2 linked regions of the Callithrix jacchus genome follow. The protein of the gene in region 1 interacts with the protein of each later gene in a pairwise test. Links are inferred from orthologs where the notes say so. Each region holds a gene or a part of one and is shown on either strand. Other genes may lie near its edges.

Region 1 (9,430 bases):
CCCTGGGGGTCATAAGATCCATGGGCATGGGCTGCTACTGGGTTATCAGAACTTACTAACATTAGTATCGCTAAAGTTGGTATACAAGCCCCCACTGCTAAATTTGACTGGCTTTAAAAAAAAATCCCCATGCATTTATGGGGTGCTTGCTGTATGCCGGGTACTGTTCCAGAGCTTTTCTTGTCTGAGTTCATTGAGTCTTCCCCACTGCACCCTGCGAGGTGGGTGGCACCTCACAGAGGAGGAAATGAAGCCCAGAGAAGTAGCGGAGTCTGCCTGGAGTCACACAGCAGGGAAGACGCAGGGCCAAGCTCTCAACCCAGTCCGGGAGGGGCCGGGGCTGGTCGGAGCAGGTCAGCCAGAGCCAGGTCCGCAGGGCCGCTGTGCTGGGTTGGATTTAAATGGGTAAAGGACACGGGCTTGTCCACCTCCCCCACTGCATCACGAGTTCTTTTCCTGGACTGGGAGGCCTTCCTACCCTCTCCCTCCGGCGACGACACCCTCATGGGGGCTTTGAGAAACGCCTGGAAGCTCATCCCTCCCGGGAGGGCCTGTAAGAAGGAAACTGTGGCATAAGCCACCTGGACGGCCCAGGTGGAGTTGGAGAAATGGTGTGTTTTGTCACAGCTAAATAAAAAAGGCTGCCGGGCGGGGTGGCTCACGCGCGTAATCCCAGCACTTTGGGAGGCCGAGGTGGGTGGATCATGAGGTCAAGAGATCGAGACCAGCCTGGCCAACATGGAGAAACCCCGTCTCTACTAAAAACACAAAAATTAGCCGAGCGTCGTGGCGAGCGCCTGTAATCCCAGCTCCTCGGGAGGCTGAGGCAGGAGAATCGCTTGAACCCGGGAGACGGAGGCTGCAGTGAGCCGAGATCGCGCCACTGCATCCCAGGCTGGCGACAGAGCGAGATGCTGTCTCAAAAAGAAAAAAAGACAGGAAGGAATAGAGGGAGCTGAGGGGTCTCCCCAGGAAGCTCAGGCCCCCACGAAGCTAGGGTCCCCTTGGGAAGGCCAGCTGGGAGCTGCCTTGCAGCCCTGGACCCTCTCAGCCTCTTTAAGATTTCTATTTGGGTCTGGAAAATTTTCCCCTGTGGTTGAAAGCTTGGGCTGCTTCTTGGCTGTGTGACCTTGAGCCGATTGCTCGCCCTCTCTGGGTGTCCACTGTGTCATCTATAAAAGGAGCGTGACAATGACGCTGCGGGAACATCCGGATCGTGAGAGGTAAAGGCTTGTGAAAGTCTCTGAGGCCGCGATGCCGAGCGCCCTCCGACTTCTGGTGTTTCTATAATGTCCGTTCTTTCTCCTCCACCAGATCTTCAAGGGGGGTTTCATCACCCCCTCCTTACCGTCAGCGGCCCTGGCGCTCTCCCCTCGCCCCCGAATCACAGGGAGCTCAACTTACCCACTTCCCTTCCCCTCAACTCAATGCCCTCAGCCCCACCAAAGCTCCTGGCTCCCTCGGCCAGGCACAGCAGGTGGCTCCCATCTGTAATCCCAAGCACTTCGGGAGGCCGAGGCAGGAGGATCACTCGAGCCCAGGAGTTTTTGAGACCAGTCTGGGCGACATAGGGAGACCCCCATCTCAATTAAAAAATTAAGAGTTGTTGTCTGACCCTCTGAGAACGGGCTGATTGCGCCCTTTCGGGGGGGTCGAGGCATCTTGGAGCCTCAGTTTCCTCCCCTGGATAACAGAGGGTGGGGGGTCCCGCCCATCTGCCACCAACCACCCGGTCTCCCCCTGTGCCTCCTCAGCCTGAAGCTGGAATGTGACAAGTTGGCCAGCGAGAAGTCGGAGATGCAGCGTCACTACGTGATGGTAAAGTCACTCCACCCCCAGGTCCGGTGCTCGGGGCGGGGACAGGGCCTCCCACACCCCACCGCCCCGCCACGGCCAGCTGCTACCTAAACCCGGGCCACCTCCCCTGGGAATCGTGCGGGCTCAGGGCCTGTTCTCCACTCAGCCGGCCCCTGCTGGGCTGAGCCTGCCTCACTAGCCTGGCAGCTGGCCGAGGAGGTGGCTGAGTTGCCAAGCCGCCGGGTTGCAGACCAGGCCTGCCAGGTCCCCCGGCTGTCCTTGGCAGCGGAGGAGGGAGGAGGAGGAGGAGGAGGAGGAGGCTGTGAAAGCCAACAGCCAGGAACTGACGTGGGGGAGCAGCCGAGGCCCTCCCCACTGCCAAGGGCCCCCCACTTAACCCCTTTGGGCCAAGCTGAGAGAGGAAGCCTGTGGGAGGGGGTCTGAGCCCTACTCATTTCAGGGGGCGGGGGGATCGAGGTGTGACACTGCATTACTGCTGCTAGAATCCTTTGCCTTGTGTTGTAACTGCCAGGTGGCAATTTCTGCATCAGAAATCCCCTCCCTGACCCACCCTGGCCTGACCCTCGAGCAGCGATACTAGGGTCTCAGCCCAGGACCCAGATCTCCCAGACTGTTGGGGGAGGCAGAGCCAGACTCTGACCCTGGCAGTCAGAAGGGATGGAGCCAGGGTCAGAGAGAGGGACCTAGGACCTGGATGAGGAAGACTATATGGAGAAGTGGGGCACGCAGCTGGGCTCTTGCAGGATGAGTAGGAGTTTACCAGGCAGAGAAGGAGAAACCGCGTGAAGGCCTGGGAATGAGCTTGGGTTTCTCCCGACGGGTGACGGGGAGCCACGGGAGGGTTTAGAGCAAGGGAGGGGCAGGGTCAGATCTGGGGCTTGGGATGAGGGGAGCTGCTGGCCCCAGAGCCAGAGCCAGTAGGCTCGTTTGCCCTCACTGTTTATACCCAGGCAGGCAAACATCCCGGAGTTGGGGCCCACCCGCAGTCAAGACATAGAAAGATACAAGATTAGGAGCCCTGGAATGCGTGTTCTCTCCATGCACGCGGAGTGGGGGAGGAGCCAGGCCGGGGCGAGGGACCTAGAGGGCCCCCCAGTCTCCATCCGCAGCCCTAGCGGGCCCCCAGCCCCCTCTCCCGGGCAGGCTGGCTGCCATGCTGGGTGTGGGTGTCTCTCTCTCCTGCACTCCCTCCCTCCCACCTGCCTCTCCCTTTCTTCCTGCTCTCAGCTGTCTCTTGCTGTCTCCCCCACTTGGTCTGTCTCTGTCACTCCCCTGTCTCTTTGTCTCCTCACCCCCCCATCCTTCCCCACCCCCATCTCCTGCTCCCTCTCTCTCTCCCCCAAATAGTACTACGAGATGTCCTACGGCTTGAACATAGAGATGCACAAACAGGTACGCCCTCCTCCTCCTCCCCTCCCCCTCCTCCCCCTCCCCCTCCCCTGCTCCTCCTCCTCCCCCTCCCCTCCCCCCCTCCTCCCCCTCATCCCTTCCTCCCCCTCCCCCCTCCTCCTCCCCCCCTCCCCCTCATCCCCTCCTTCCTTCTCCTCCCCCTCCCCCTCATCCCCTCCTTCCCCCTCCTCCCCCTCCCCCTCATCCCCTCCTTCCCCCTCATCCCCTCCTTCCCCCTCCTCGCCCTCCTCCCCTTCCTCCTCTTCTTCCCTCCCCCACCTCCGCCTCCCCCTTCCCCCTCCCTCTCCTCCTCCCCCTCCCCCTACACTCCCTCCCCCTCCTCCTCCCCTCGTCCTCCTCCTCTCTTCCCTCCTCCTCTCCCCTTTCCCTCCTCCCTCCCCCCTCCTCCCTCCCCCCAACCTCGAGCCCCAAGCCCCGACTTAGGCACCCCCAGGCAGGTAGCAGCAGGCCCTCACTGGGCACAAAGCCAGCCCTGTTATCCAGTTACCTCCCAAGCCCTTCCCAAGCTCCCAACCCCGTTTCTTTTTCAGGCCTCCCTGGAAGTTTTTTCTTCCAGGCGGGGAGGGGCACAGCCCTCCCTACATTCCCACAAGTGCTTACTACCTGCCAGGGTCTGGTCCTCTCAGAGTCACCGAGCCCCAGTGTAGTGTGGCCTCCTGCACCTCGCTGCACCCTAAGCTGTAGGGACCGCCAGCCTCGAGGCCCACCTTTGCCACCGGCTGCCCTCGACCCCAACATGGCTTTGCTCATCCCACCCTCTGGCCCACACGAGGGCCAGACCCAGCTCCTCTCAGAGAGAAGCCCCACGTGGCAGGGCCGGGCCGGGCCCTCGTGTGGGCCTCGTCGGGCTGGCCTCTCCCCACCACCCGCCCAGGACTGGAGCCGGCTTCCTCTGTGTGTTCCAGGCGGAGATCGTGAAGAGGCTGAATGGGATTTGTGCCCAGGTCCTGCCTTACCTCTCCCAAGAGGTAAGAGCCAGGGCCCCGGGAGGCGGTGCCGGAGTGGGGGCCTGCACGTGCCCAGCCCCTGCCCCCCTGCAGCCATCTCAGGTGGTGCGCTGGGCACCCCAGGGCACAGGCCTCCCGGCTCTGGACACCAGAGCCAGCCTGTGCAGAAAAATCCCCAGGCCAGGGAAGGGGTGTGGAGGGCGGGCCTCACCCTGCTCTGGAATTCCCAGCTGGAGTGCGTCATGACATAGGTAGGAATGTCGACGGGAACTGCCCCGGGAAGGTTTTCCTTGTATCTTCCTGCTTTCCCTTCTTCAGACATCCTCCAGGCCCTGCGGGCGGCAGAGGACAGAGGACCTGTGGGTGTGATGGCGGGGGGGGGGGGCACGGGCAGCCACACAGGGACACAGCCACGCAGATGGGCGTCAGCACACGGGAGAGACACACACGCAGACAGTACAGACACAGGCACAGGTGCAGCTACACGTGGGCACACGTGATCCCGCGCACACATTAACACTTGCACACACACACCCAGAGGAACCTGACGCCAGCTCCTTTTTTTTTTTTAAAGTAGAGATGGAGTTTCACCATGTTGGCCAGACTGGTCTCGAACTCCTGATCTCGTGATTCTCCTGCCTCGGCCTCCCAAAGTGCTGGGTTACAGGCACACGCCACCACGCCCGGTCTAATTTTTGTATTTTTTTTAGTAGAGACGGGGTTTCACCATGTTGACCGGGATGGTCTCGATCTCTTGACCTTGTGATCCACCCGCCTCGGCCTCCCAAAGTGCTGGGGTTACAGGCGTGAACCACCGCGCCCGGCCTCCTCTTCTCTTTTCTTGGGTTCTGAGGCTCAGGATGTGAGGCGCCCCTCCCCAGGGCCACGTAAGGCCCGTCTCCTGTTCCCTGCTGGGTTTACTGTCAAAAGCCTGTAATATCCTTTTCAATTCCTGCGTGTGTATCTCCGGATCTTTTGGGTGCCCTGCTTTGCCCAGGGACAAGTCTAGAAGGACCCAATGAAAGCCCTCGAGAGGGACAGGCACGGTGGCTCACGCCTGTAATCCCGGCACTTTGGGAGGCCAAAGTGGGCAGATCATGAGGTCAGGAATTCAAGGTCAGGAGTTCGAGACCATCGCCAACAAGGTGAAACCGCGTCTCTACTAAAGATACGAAAAATTAGCTGGGCGTGGTGGCGTGTGCCTGTAATCCCAGCTACTTGGGAGGCTGAGGCAGGAGAATCGTTTGAACCCTGGGAGGTGGAGGTTGCCGTGAGCTGAGATCGCACCACTGCGCTCCAGCCTGGGCGAAAGGGTGAGACTCCATCTCAAAAAAAGAAAAAAGACAGAAAGCCTTAGAGAAAAGGGCATTTGGAGCCCTTCAGAACAGATGCTTCCTGGTAGCCAAGGCGAAAAGGGAGACTGGTAGATTCTAGTAGCATCTGCTGGCCGCAGAGAGTCAGCTGTTTGGGAAGAGCTGGGGAGGGCATTGCCCAGAACCTGGGCCCATTCCCCGGCTGGCCTCCGCCAGAATTCACTGGGCCTTCCCCAGCCATGGAAGGAGAAGGGCTCAACTTGGCCGACGTCAGGGCAGTGTCGGAGCTCTTAGGACCGACGTCCCTGTACAGTTGGGCAGGTTGCGTACTGCACCGAGATTCTCATCTTTCCCGTCTCTGCACGTGAGAGTGGTCGGCATCCAGGGTTTCTCCCGGGCTCGCTCACAGGCCGTTTCCTGACGACTTCGCACACACACTTTTCATGGTTTTCTGGACTTTTCCGTTCGCCTCTGTTGGCCAGCTGAAGATCAGGCTTGGTGAAGGAAGCAGCTGGAGAGGGAGGGCGCTTTCTGATGGGGCTGACAACCACTGGGAGGAGTGGACATGACCACCCGCTTGGTAGTGGGGCTTTTCCCGGCCTCAGCCCCCCCCTCCACCAGGATCAGAGGAATCACTGCCTCCCCCTCCCCCTCTTCCAGCACCAGCAGCAGGTCTTGGGAGCCATCGAGAGGGCTAAGCAGGTCACCGCCCCTGAGCTGAACTCCATCATCCGAGTACGTATGGGACCTGGGCGGGGGGCGGGGCACAGGTGGGCCCCAGGCAGCTAACGCTCCCCCCCCACGCCCTGCAGCAGCAGCTCCAAGCCCACCAGCTGTCCCAGCTGCAGGCCCTGGCCCTGCCCCTCACCCCACTCCCAGTGGGGCTGCAGCCGCCCTCGCTGCCGGCGGTCAGCGCAGGCACCGGCCTCCTCTCACTGTCGGCGCTGGGCTCCCAGGCCCACCTCTCCAAGGAAGACAAGAACGGGCACGACGGTGACACCCACCAGGAGGACGACGGCGAGAAGTCGGATTAGCAGGGGGCCGGGACGGGGAGGGTGGGAGGGGGGACAGAGGGGAGACAGACACCGAGAGAAGGGAATGTGTAGCACAGACACGGCAGAGCTGGGGATTGGCGAGACTCCCGGAGTATTTGTGGTGGCGCCCCAGCTCGGCTTGCAGGCCAGCCCTAGCTTTCTTCCTACCCCGGTCCCGGCCTCCCTCCTCCTCCCCTGCAGCCCGGATAGGTGGGTACCTGCCCCGACACGCGAGGCAAGCTAAGGCCTGGAGGGTCAGATGGGAGCCCAGGTCCCAAGGGAGCACTTGCTGGCCAAGTCCGGCACCGCTGTCACTTCCCCCATTTTGAACACGTGTCACTGACGGTCTGCCCGGGCCCCTCGGGGCACACGCCACAGCGCGCTCACCCTGGTACTGCATGCACGCAATGCTAGCCGCCCCCTTCCCGTCCTGGGCACCCCGAGTCTCCCCCAACCCCGGGCCCCAGATAGGCTCCCACCTCCACCTCCTGCCCCCCCCCCACCACCTCTGCTAGTTCCAGATGCCTCTATGCCCACCTGGTCCTCTCCCGTCACCCACAAAAGAGGGGGCACGGGGAGGGGAGCAAGCTGAGCTTGAGCTGGGAGGAGCAGGGTGAGGGCGAGCGACCCAGGACTCCCCCTCCCCTTCCCAAATAAAGATGAGGGTACTGAAGTTGTCTTGGTTTTTATTTTCTTATGTTTCTTTTTCCGGTATACTAGCTTGTCTCTTAAGAAGGGGATATTACAACAAAAAAAAAGACAAAAATGTTTTTAAAAAAAGCAACACCCGCACCTGTGTCTGTATATAGTCAGCTTATGATGTGTCCTGTCGTTTGGTCTCTGCAGAGAAGTGGAAGTGCTGTATCAAGGGTGGGCTTAGCTGTGCCTTTCAAATAAAGATATGAGAAGGTTCCGTGCTGTGTTCCTGCCTCTGTGTCGTGGGCTGCCCCGGGGTGGGGGGGCCCATCCAGCGTGAGACACCCTCCTAGAACATCGAGAGTTCCCTGGTGAGGCCGGGCACGGGGGCTCACACCTGTAATCCCAGCGCTTTGGGAGGCCAAGGCAGGTGGATCACTTGAGGCCAGGAGTTCAAGACCAGCCTGGCCAACATGGCGAAACCACGTCTCTAGTGAAAATAAAAAAGTAGTCAGGTGTGCTGGCGCCAGAGCCTGAGGCACAAGCATTGCTTTAACTCGGGAGGTTGCAGTGAGCTAAGATAGCACCTCTGTGCTCCGGCCTGGGTGACAGCAAGAACCTCTCTCAAAAAAATTTAAAAAGGCAAATTAAAGGGCGCAGTGACATGCCTGTAATCCCGGCACTTTGGGAGGCTGAAGCAGGAGGATCATGAGGTCAGGAGTTGGAGACCAGCCTGGCCAACATGGTGAAACCCCACGTCTACTAAAAATACCAAATCCAGCCGGGCGTGGTGATGCGCTCCTGTAATCCCAGCCACTTAGGAGGCTGGGGTAGGAGGATCTGGAACGCAGGAGACGGAGGTTGCAGTGAGCCGAGACTGTGCCACTGCACTCCAGCCTGGGGGACAGATTGAGACCCTGTCTCAAAAAAAGAGCTCCTAGGTGGGTCACACTTCTGCATCTGGCCTACGCTGCTTTGATGCCAAGCACAGAGAGGGCAAACTGGAGACTTCAGGTCACACAGCATGACCCAGGTGCTTGATGTTTAGATAGCTGCTCAAGGGGCCCTGAGAAGGCTAAGGGGTCCCTAAGCTAGAAGGTGGGGAGGCTGAGGTGGGAGAATTTCTTGAAGCCAGGAATACAAGGCCAACCTGGGCAACATAGCAAGACCCTATCTCTCTAAAAAAATTAATTCTTGGCCGGGCGCGGTGGCTCAAGCCTGTAACTGTAATCCCAGCACTTTGGGAGGCCGGGGCGGGTGGACCACGAGGGGTCAAGAGATCGAGACCATCCTGATCAACATGGTGAAACCCCGTCTCTACTAAAAATACAAAAATTAGCTGGGCATGGTGGCGCGTGCCTGTGATCCCGGCTACTCGGGAGGCTGAGGCAGGAGAATTGCCTGAACCCAGGAGGCGGAGGTTGCGGTGAGCCGAGATCGCGCCATTGCACTCCAGCCTGGGTAACAAGAGCGAAACTTCGTCTCAAAAAATAACTAAATAAAATTAATTAATTATTTATTTTTTAAAATAGCGACTAAGTGTCAGAGCCGGCTTCGGCACCGGAGACCTGAGGACCTAAATGACGTTCTTTTCCCTTAGAGAAAGAGGAGGCCCCAGTGCCCACACAGGTATACTTCTTTTTGTTTTTTCCTTTGAGACAGGGTCTCGCTCTGTTGCCCAGGCTGGAGTGCAGCGGTGCGATCACAGCTCACTGCGGCCTCAACTTCCCTGAGCTGAAGCGATCTTCCCACCTCAGGCTCAGCCTCCTGAGCTGGAATGGTGGGCGTGCACCATGATAGCCACATACCTTTTGTGTGTGTGTGTGTGTGTGTGTGTGTGTGTGTGTGTGTATATATATATATATATATATATTTTTTTTTTTTTTTGGTAGAAATGGGGTTTCACCATGATAACCAGGTCTCAAACTCCTGGGCTCAAGCAATCCTCCCGCCTTGGCCTCCCAAAGTGCTGGGGTTACAGCCGTGAGCCGCCGCGCCTGGCCAGTATACTCATGGAGAACATTGACTCCCCCGTAGCTGAGCCTCGGAGCAGCTGGAACTGCCTCACCCAAGCTGGACCAGCCCTGGGAAAGCCGGGAGAAGGGATTGCCACCAGTTCTCCTGTCTTGGCCTCGGCCCCTGGCTGCTCTGGGACTTGGGTCAAGGGAACCTCTTGCTGCCCACCCGGTAAATAGAAGATGGCCATTTCCTGGACTCGGTGGCTCACGCCTATAATCCCAGCACTTTGGGAGGCTGAGGCGGGTGGATCATT
Region 2 (9,985 bases), on another chromosome or scaffold:
AATGCTACTCTTAATCCCCAGCAATCTTCCCCTTTACTCCCCATCCACAATTTACTTTTTCAGGAAGTCTTCCCCGTGGATTCAAAGGGTAATCTCAGCTGAGCATGGTAGCTGATGCCTGTTAACCCAGAACTTTGGGAGGCGAAGGTGGGAGGATCACTTGAGCTGAGTGTGGTAGTGCATGCCTGCAGTCCCAGCTGCTCAGGGGGCTGAGGCAGGAGGATCACTTGAGCAGGGGAGGTCAAGGCTGCAGGCAGCCATGATCATGCCACTGCATTGCAGCCAGGGCAACAGAGAGACCCTTCCTCAAAAAAAAAATTAAAAATGTCATCAGCAAGCACCCTCACAGATACACCCAGGATAATGTTTTACCAAATAAAATTTGACACGTCAAATTAACCATCACAGCTTCCTAACTCGTTGGCCTGTTTTAATCTGTCCTTTAATCTATCCTCAACAAAATGGTGGACTAAAAAAAACAATGAGCTACATCATTTAGCTTCTCTGCTAAACATTCTTCAGTCTTCCTATCTCAATTAATGTAAAAAAAAATTTCTGAGATAGAGTCTCGCTCTGTCACCAGGCTGGAGTGCAGTGGTGCATCCTCAGCTCACTGCAACCTCTGCCTCCCAGGTTCAAGTGATTCTCCTGCCTCAGCCTCCTGAGTAGATGGGAATACAGGCGTGCACCACTACACCCAGCTAATGTTTGTATTTTTAGTAGAGATGGGGTTTCAGTATGTTGGCCAGGCTGGTCTCAAACTCCTGTCCTTGTGATCTGCCCACCTCAGTATCCCAAAGTGCTGGGATTATAGGCATGAGCCACTGTGCCCAGCCTTCAATGTAAAATTTAAAGACTATCATGACCACCAATGCCATACATGCTTTATTCCCCACTCCTAGCCCCACCGCCATCACTCTTACTGAACTCTGTTTTGCCCACCCTGATATTTCTCCCAGAAGCCAAGCATGCTCCTGCCTTGGGGCCTTTACATCCACTGATCCCTAAGCTTGAAATGATCTTAATCCCAATAGCTGCATTGTTTTCTCCCTCAGTGATTCTCTTATCTTATAGGGCTTTGCAATATACATATTTTAAAAAATATAACACACCTCATCCCTCTTATCTTACTTTCTTTCATAATAAACTGTATTTTTTTTCCTTTTTCTTTTCTTTTTTTTTTTTTTTTTTGAGATGGAGAGTCTTGCTCTGTCACCCAGGCTGGAGTGCAGTAGTGTGATCTTGGCTCACTGCAACCTCTGCCTCCTGGGTTCAAGCAATTCTCTGCCTCAGCCTTTTGAGTAGCTGGGATTACAGGCATCCACTACCACGCTCAGGTAATTTTTTTATATTTTCAGTAGAGATGGGTTTCACCATGTTGGCCAGGCTGGTCTTGTACTCCTGACCTCGTGATCCACTCGCCTCGGCCTCTCAAAGTGCTGGGATTACAGGCATGAGCCACCTCGCCCAGCAAATAAACTGCATCTTTTAGAACAGTTTTAGACTTACAGAAAAATTGCAAAGGTAGTACAGAATTGCCATAAATTCTATTTCAGATTTTCCATGATTAGCATCTTACATTACATTCCTCAAGACTAATCAACCTTGATTCTTATTATTAATGAAAGTCCTTACTTTACTTAGATTTCCTTAGCTTTTCCCCAAGTCCTTTTTCTGTCGCAGGATCTCATCCAGGATACCACATTACATTTAGTTTTCACATCCTCCTTAGCTTCTTTTAGGCTGTGGCAGTTTTTCAGACTTTCCTTATTTTTATTTTTAATTTTTGTAGAGACAGGGTCTTGCTATGTTGGCCAGACCAGGTCTTGAACTCCTGGCCTTAAGCAATCCTCTCGCTTCAGCTTCCCACAGTGCTGGGATTACAGGTGTGAACCACCACGTCTGGACTGTACTTTTCTTACTTTTGATAACCTGACAACTTCGAGGAATATGGTCAGGTATTTTGTAGGATGTCCCACTATTGAAATTAGTTTGGTATTTTTCTCATTATGAGACAGTGGTTATGGGTTTTGGGGAGGAAGACCACAGAGGTAATGGGCCATATTCATCACATTGTATTAACTACATGTCATCAATATAATTCATGATTGTTGACGTTTACTTAGAACATCTGGCTGGCGTAGTGTCTGTCAGCTTTCTCCATTGTAAAGCTACTCTTTTCCCCTTTCCATACTGTACTATTTTGGAGGAAGTCACTGTGCACTGCCTACGGTAGATGATCTACATAAATTATTTGGAATTATTCTGTGTAGGAGATTTGTCTCCTCTCTGCCTTTTATTTATTTATTCAATTATTTATTTATATGAGTGTAGACTCATGGATATTTTTTACTTTGGCTTTTAATCCAATAAGACTTTGTTTAGTTTACTTCGTTGCTCAAATGGTTCCATCTTTGGCAACTGGGAGCTCTTTCAGGTAGTTCTGTGTTTAAACATTCTCCCATCAAGGCAGGATTCGTTTTTTATTTTTATTTTTCCTTCTCATTCTTTTGCCCAGGCTGAAGTGCAGTGGCAGGATCTAGGCTCACTGCATGCTTGACCTCCTGGGCTCAAGTGATCCTCCCACCTTAGCGTCGCGAGTAGCTGGGACCACAGAGGCGCGCCACCATGCTCAGCTAATTTTTGTATTTTTTGTAGAGATGGGCTTTCACCATATTGTTCAGACTGGTCTCAAACTCCTGGGCTCAAGCGATCCTCCCACCTCAGCCTCCCAAAGTGCTAGGTTATGGGCGCGAGTCACCGCGCCTGGCCCGATTTCCCTTTTTGAATCTCACTTACTTTTCAGCCTCACCTTTGTTTTTCAAGGTGCTTACCGCCACCTGGCACAATCCACACTTTGTTTATGTCTCCCCATTAAAGTGCCAGGACCTGGAGGGGGGGTCTTGGCAGTATTTTTGAGAGCGGTGGTACCCTGGGCACACAAGGGGACGCTCAGCTAATATCCAGGGAATGATGAGCCCGTAGGGTCCTGAGGCCGACTGGAGAGGGGTTGGCCGCCGGGTTCTGGGAAGGCGGTGGTCGGCCGCTGTGTGACCGCAGGCTCCTTGCCCGCCTCCTGGAAGGTCCAGGGGGTGCAGGACCTGCTGCAGCCTCGGCAGCCACACCCACGCTCAGAGACCGCTTCCACCGTCCTCGCCGCGGAAACGCACCGGACGGCAAATGTCATCAGCGCAGCGGGGATTCCCGGGGAAAGTCCACCGCGCTCCCTGCCCTAGGAACCGGAGGATGAGCAGAGGAAGTGCCTCTGGCTGCAAACCTCCCACTCCCCGCGAGGGTCCGCTCCGCCCGCGGGAACTCCCCGAGACGTACGGGAGGTGCTGGAGCGCGTCCCCGGCTCCGGGCGGTCCCGAGCGCAGGGACTCCGGGCGGGGCGGGAACCTGCGCTCCGCGAGCCGCCGCGCCCCGGCGCTGTCATCCCGGGGCGGGGCCTTGTCCCCAGCTGTGGTCGCTTCCTAAGCGGCTAGGGCAGAGCCGGCGGCGCCCAGATGCGGCCGCGGCGGGGCGGAGCTCGGGCCGCAGTGAAGGAGCCCAGCCTCTGCCGCAGGGGACGCGGGAGGCGCCGGGAGCCGAGCCGCCGGGAGTCGCGCAACAGGTTTCCTTCCCCAACGCGGCGCCCACGGGGGACGAGCGCCCGGCCGGGATAGGGGCTTCTCGGTTCGAACTCTCGCTCCGGGTACTGGTTTGTTTTTCTGTCCCTGAGCTCCCCATTTCTCTACCTATTCCCGGTGCGCGGAGAGTGCGGGGAGGTGGGCGGGCCGGGGCGGGGACACTGTCTGGGCTCCGGATCCGCGGCGGTGCCTTAGTGGGTTTTGGTGCAGGGCCTCACGCCGCCTCTGGGCACCTTCGAGAACACAGCACTGGGTTTCTCATATAAAGCGGAATGATATTTTTTGAATTACTTTTAATTTCAGAGGCCAAGGGACTGAGAATTTAGCGCTTCATAGGAATTATTTTAGGGATACCCGTTGGTAGGCTGCCTTTATAAAGCGTCCACCTAAGACTACCTTTAAGTTGAAAGGCTGAAGTGTTTCTTTGTTATCACCTCTTCATTTCCTATTAGGGTGACTGTGTCAAAAACACCAGAATGGGTACCTCTTGACTTGAACTTGGCACTGTCACCCAGAAGCCGGGAGAGACGGAGAAATTGATAGAGCCTTGGAGCAGTCCCTTCAAAGCCCACATAAGACTTTGTTTTAGAAAAATGGAGAGGAAGGGTAGTGGCAATCCTGCGAGAACCACTCTGTCCAAGAGGGAATTCTGCCTTTTTCTAGACTCCTCTGACACCAGCTGAGCTCTGTATTACTTCCTGTGGTTCTCACGCACTTGTTTCAGCCGTTTCTCAGCAAAGGGAGGAGTTGTTATTTACGGGTATCCAAAAATGAGTCACACGGCTGCTCTCTTAATTGTGAGACTTTGTTAATGAACTTTTTGAAAAGCGAGGCTTGCTCTGTCTGTATTTAAAATGAGGCTCTAGATGTGAAATGCCTGCCCTGCTAACCTGGGGCAGTGGTATGGGTAGTGATGATTTGAGTTTTCAGTTTCCTAAGGCGCCTGATGTTACAACATGCCAGTAAAGGTCACTGGGCTGATCTAAGATAACCATTAAAATCATGTGCTTTGCCACAGAAGCCCAAGGGAAAATTAATTTCAGTATCTAGTGACCATTTTGTCCTCATTTTCACTGCATGGTAGAAATGTATCATTTAATGTGGTGACTGTAACTCTCTAAAATCAAAATATTTCTAACAATTTGTATTTACTAAATTGATGCTAAAACCACACGACGATTTTTGAAGTGGGTAGGTCCCAGCAGGAGCAGAGAAATTTAAAAGTTGAAACTCACAGGTCCCATTGTAGTGGGTAGCAGCGCTTAGGCAAGGTCTGCACAGGCTCTCAACATGATAGAAAAGGGAGCACCATCTCTACTGGAGCTGAGTTGAGCTGAGTTCAGCCCCAAACAACAGTTACCAGGCACCTTCTCTGTGCCAGCCTCTTCTCTGAACCTTGCTTGTGCAACTAGGAATAAAAGGATCCTGCTGACAAGCTGCTAGGGTAAATCTACACCCAGATGGATGTTTCTGTCCCAATATAACTCAGTAAGCTGGGTCCCAGTGTATTTAAAAATTAAACAGCCAGTTACTACCCCTAGATAATTACAGTCACCTTTAGTTCATAGTGTGACTTTTAGGAAATAGTGTGACTAAATAATAGTTTATTTAAATACACTGGAAAATCCATTATATATGTGCTAGGGTACATCTATGCCCAGAGTGAAGTTTCTGTCCCAATATGACTGATGTTTCTGCAGATCTGGGATTTGGAATGGACTGGGTCATGGCTGGAAAAGCGAGGAAGCTTTTGAGTTGACTCATTTACTTGTCTTTGTAGGCAGCCTATTCTTCATTTGATACATGATTTAAAAAATATGAATTAGAAAGGTATGGTTTTTAAAGCATTTGAATGAACCATATTTCATACTATTTAATAACCATGTGAAACTAAACTCAGCTGATTATCACCCCTGGACAATTGCAGTCACCTTTAGTTAACAGCATGACTTTTAGAAAATAGTATGACTAATTAATAGGTTGTTTTGTTTTGTTTTGTTTTGAGAGAGTCTCACTCTGTTGCCCAGGCTGGAGTGTAGTGGCGCAATCTTGGCTTGCTGGAATCTCCACCTCCCGCATTCAAGCAATTCTCGTCCTTCAGCCTCCCAAGTAGCTGGGACTACCAGCTCCCACCACAACAACCGGCTAGTTTTTGTATTTTTAGTAGAGTCAAGGTTTTGTCCTGTTGGCCCAGCTGGTCTCAAACTCCTGACTGCAGGTGAGCTGCTCACCTTGACCTCCCAAAGCGCTGAGATTGCAGGTGTGAGCCACCATGCCCTGCCTAATAGTTTATAAATTGATAACACTATATTGAGGCAAGTTTCTGATCATTGTTTTTGCAGTTCAAATCAATGTTTTTAGCACGTTATAGCCATATGAGCCCAAATGCATAAACATACTGTATCACAGTTTACTGTTGCAATTGAAATCTGCTGAGAGGCTTTTAGACTTGATGCCCAAGTATCAAGGTTTCCAAGTTTCCCCAGTTTGCTAAGATACCCAACTAGTAAAGGTAACAATGCTAAATTGGAGACAAATTGGCCTTAATTTCCAAACTTTCTTCCTCCTTTGAGACCCCTAAGGTTACTTTTTCTATGAGGAAGAAAGAGTGGAGTATATTATTCAGCATTGTACTCCCTGAATTTGGCCCAGGTTTGACTAATGATAGGTGTAAGAAAGTGATGAATATATTGATTTCATCCATAAATTTTATTGATGATTTATTTATTTCATCATTTGTTGATGAAATATGAACTTTCATATAGGAGGATGAATTTTCAGGCAGGTGGAAGGATAGGTGACCCAGCAGAAGGAACAGCACACATAGAGAAGTGAAACAGCACTGGACGTTCGGGAAACTCCAGCCTGTTTAGTGACAGCACAGAGTAAGGGCTGCGGAGACAGGAAGGGCCAGATCACAAAGGCCCATAAGCCATGTGGGACCTGAGGGTTTATAGTACTGAGTACTGAGGCCTTTGAACAAGTGAATGATACTGTCAGGTATGTGTTTGAAAAAACAATAGCAAAACTTAGAATTTTGTAAATCTTAGATTAGAGGAGAGTGACATTGACCTTAGGGAGACACAGTGGAGACTGTTATAACATTGGAGATGGGACATGAAAGAAAGCCTGAATCGGGCAGTGACAGTGCAGACTGGAAGAGAGGGAAGGAACTGGTAGACGTTTAATAGGTGGAACCCAGTTGGGTGTGTATTTAGAAATGGGCAGTGAGGAGGTGGGAGGAGTTAAGATGACGCCCACATTTCTAATTAATGACTAGGAAAAGAATATCCTCCTCAGTGGAAAATAGGTTTGGGCTAAAGGATGGGGAGAAACTCACACCATACCTGGCACATAATCAGTGCTCATTGAGATTTTTCAAAGGAATGCTAGTCATGGCTAAAATGTATCGCGTGCTTATTATGGGCCAGGTACTATCCTATGCTCACTTATTTGCATTAAGCCTTTTACTCCTCAGTACAATACTGTGAGATAGTTACTCAAATTAACTGCTTTGACTGGAGTTCTGCTGCAGTGTTAGTAACTGACAGAGCCAGAAATGGATCCCAAGCACTTGGTTCCAGAGCTTGCATTCTGAAGCACTCTGCTGTGGTGTGTGTCTTGATGAATGAATCAATGAGATTTTGGACATTGTGGTAAACTCAGGTTGAAGTCACTCTCCTGCCTGTAACAATTCTTCCTTATCCAAGAATGGCCTTGATGCATACAATGGGCCCTCAGTGTCCCTACTGTGCTACATGACATCCCACTCCCCACCACCTTCACTCCAAGAAATACCTGATTCGTCTAGGAGGAAACCTGGAATAATCAAACACTTTTTTATCCTGGGAATTTAAACATTTTAATGGAGACTCAGTGTCTGAAGGTTCCAAATGCTTCAATCATTGTGTCTACAGAGCTGCCTTGGTTACCATCCTTCCTAAACACTGAATACCGAGCTTTTCATATTTCTCAGATGCCCCCAATGTTTTGTCGCTAAGATTTTCCATAGAAGCAGAGAGGCTGGGAGGCGTTAATCTACAGAGCAGGATCCAATGGTGGAAGAATCACTAACAAATGCAGACAGGTACATAACAACTCCAGATCTTACATTCCTAACTTGTGATCTGCCTTCCGAATCCTATTTTGTTCTAGTTTACCCTGAAGAGGTGCCTTACTTACTCTAACTTCCAGAATCTTATTAAGTGAGCCTGGCCCTGCTGTGTCTCCTGTCCTCTTGACTTTAGCTTGGCAAAATGATTCAGGTATCTTGCATTCAGAGCTTGCTTTCTATATGGGGCACCTGGGTAGATTTCTTTGGTCTCAACAGTGGCATTTTGACCAACAACCCTGTCCACCGCTCCCCACCCATCCCCCAAAATGATCCCAACTCTTAACTGTTTTCATTGTTTGATGATTCAACCTACCCTGACTTGGATTAATATCCTGATTTTTGTTCAGCAATCAGGGACTAAGAATTGATCTAGGAAGAAACCTGGAATAATCAGACCTTTTCTCCTGGGAATTTACATTTTAATGGAGACATTCAGAGGTTCCTAGAGCTTAAGCCATTGTGTCCACAAAGCTGCCTTCCTCATCTCTTCCTCAAAGATCTCTACTTTGGACCATGTAAGGTTTAAAACGCCCGATGAATGTTATACCCAAACTGAATCAGCAAACTCACTTATTGGAGCTTTAAAATGTTCAAATGTCCATTTTGGGAGGCTGAGGCAGGAGGCCTGCTTGAGCCTGGGGGCAGTGGCAGGGGTGGGGAGAATGTTCAAATGTGTGAAACTTGGTTTTAAAATATTTTCTCCACACATGAATTAAATGTTTTGCTCATCATTTCTTCAGATTGATTGGGAAATCAGCATATTTATAGTTGCCCAGGAGATGAGAGTGACATGAAGCCTTGCAGGGTGATAGAGCCCATATGTCTACCCCTTGGTCTGGCTTTTAGGTGACTGCCTATGGTTCATTCAGTGCTCAGATCACAGGAACGGGAAGGGTTTGGTTAATATTTCATGTGGGTTTGTCTTGCCTGTCCAATTCAGCTGTGGTTTCCCTGAGAGAGGAGAATAGCTACAGCTGGGGGCTCTGTTATGCCATCTCTAAGGCTCCTCCCAGTTCTAACAACCATTCTGTGACTTTTACTAATAATGAAACCATCTATCAGAGTAAGTCATTTGTTGGCCCCTCCTTCTGAGTTTATGGATGCCAGACATTATTTGTGTATTTCATTCTACTTTTTGTAAGGCTCAGTAATTTGATAATTTTTAGAATGATTTAGTTTTAGAACTGATAATTTTCAGTTACCCTTCTTAAGCTAATTAAATGTGTTTTAAAATTTAATTTGTGTTCTTTTTTTTCTTTTCAGTAGACAGGACATCAAAATAATCCAGAAAATACTACGTCTTCTAGAAAAGTATTTCCCCTTTTGTATGCTTGTTTTATTTGTTTTCCTGTTCAAACACGTAAAGAGATATTCCACTACTCCTTGCATAGCTTACTGGGTAATAATATCAATTTCAGCTTTTCAGAATAGTGCAAATTGCTCTGCTTTTGTCTTCATATGGAAACAGTAGACAAGTAGTTCTGTCTTGGGTTTCAGGTTCAGGATTGCATCTCTTCATGGTTGTTTTTCTAATTTTCTATTATGTACTTAGTTATGTTGATTAGTGACCCAAATCTGTTGATCTGAGATATGTAGGACATAGTGTCTTAGCTAAATTCTGTAATAATACTACATTTCCCACCTCCGCCTCCCCTCTTCCTTGATTACTTCATGGTAAACCAACATGTAATGATGTTTAGCTGATAACATTATTTATTTATTGTTTGTAAATAATAAGGATTGTTGTATGTACTGTCGTATATATGATTTCTGTTAATTCTCATAACAGCCAGGAAGAATGGAAATAATAAGGATTGTTGTTGCTGTCACCATTATCCATATTTTATAGATAAGGAGGGAAACACTTGGAGAGATTAAGGGACCACCCAGGATTGCCCGAGGTTAAGTGCAGAGGCCTGCTACATTATGCCGTCAGGACTTGACTGAAAGGGGCAAGTTCAGTGTCTCAGGTTCCCAGGAAACAGACCCTGAGACTCTAAAATTTACATGCAGGAGGTGTTTACTGGGACAACACACAGTAGGAGAGAGGGAAGCAAGATTTCCCAGTGGGAGAAACTGAACTGTGGGGTGTGCACAACAGCAGCCTCCACAGTGAGGAACTTAGAAGCTGGGGTTCTTGTTCAGAATTGTTCTGCCTCCTGAGGCAAGAGGCTCAGCATTCACACTCACATCAACTAATCATTGGATGCAGCTCCCTTTAGTCCAGGGCAATTTCTGGAAC

What was found.
Region 2: the proteins of TLE5 (region 1) and STX11 interact in binary tests that used the Homo sapiens proteins (3 or more experiments, as listed by UniProt). The two-hybrid records come from large-scale screens. The link is inferred for Callithrix jacchus from reciprocal best matches to the Homo sapiens genes TLE5 and STX11.

What each region holds. Positions count from the first base shown.
Region 1 is NC_133523.1:2,826,713-2,836,142, reverse strand, and holds the end of TLE5 (TLE family member 5), read left to right. Parts: intron 1-1,754; coding exon 1,755-1,818; intron 1,819-3,165; coding exon 3,166-3,210; intron 3,211-4,133; coding exon 4,134-4,196; intron 4,197-6,148; coding exon 6,149-6,223; intron 6,224-6,300; coding exon 6,301-6,522; 3' UTR 6,523-7,435; downstream 7,436-9,430. UniProt on the Homo sapiens protein: Transcriptional corepressor. Acts as a dominant repressor towards other family members. Inhibits NF-kappa-B-regulated gene expression. May be required for the initiation and maintenance of the differentiated state.
Region 2 is NC_133505.1:150,900,130-150,910,114, forward strand, and holds the start of STX11 (syntaxin-11), read left to right. Parts: upstream 1-3,488; 5' UTR 3,489-3,694; intron 3,695-9,985. UniProt on the Homo sapiens protein: SNARE that acts to regulate protein transport between late endosomes and the trans-Golgi network.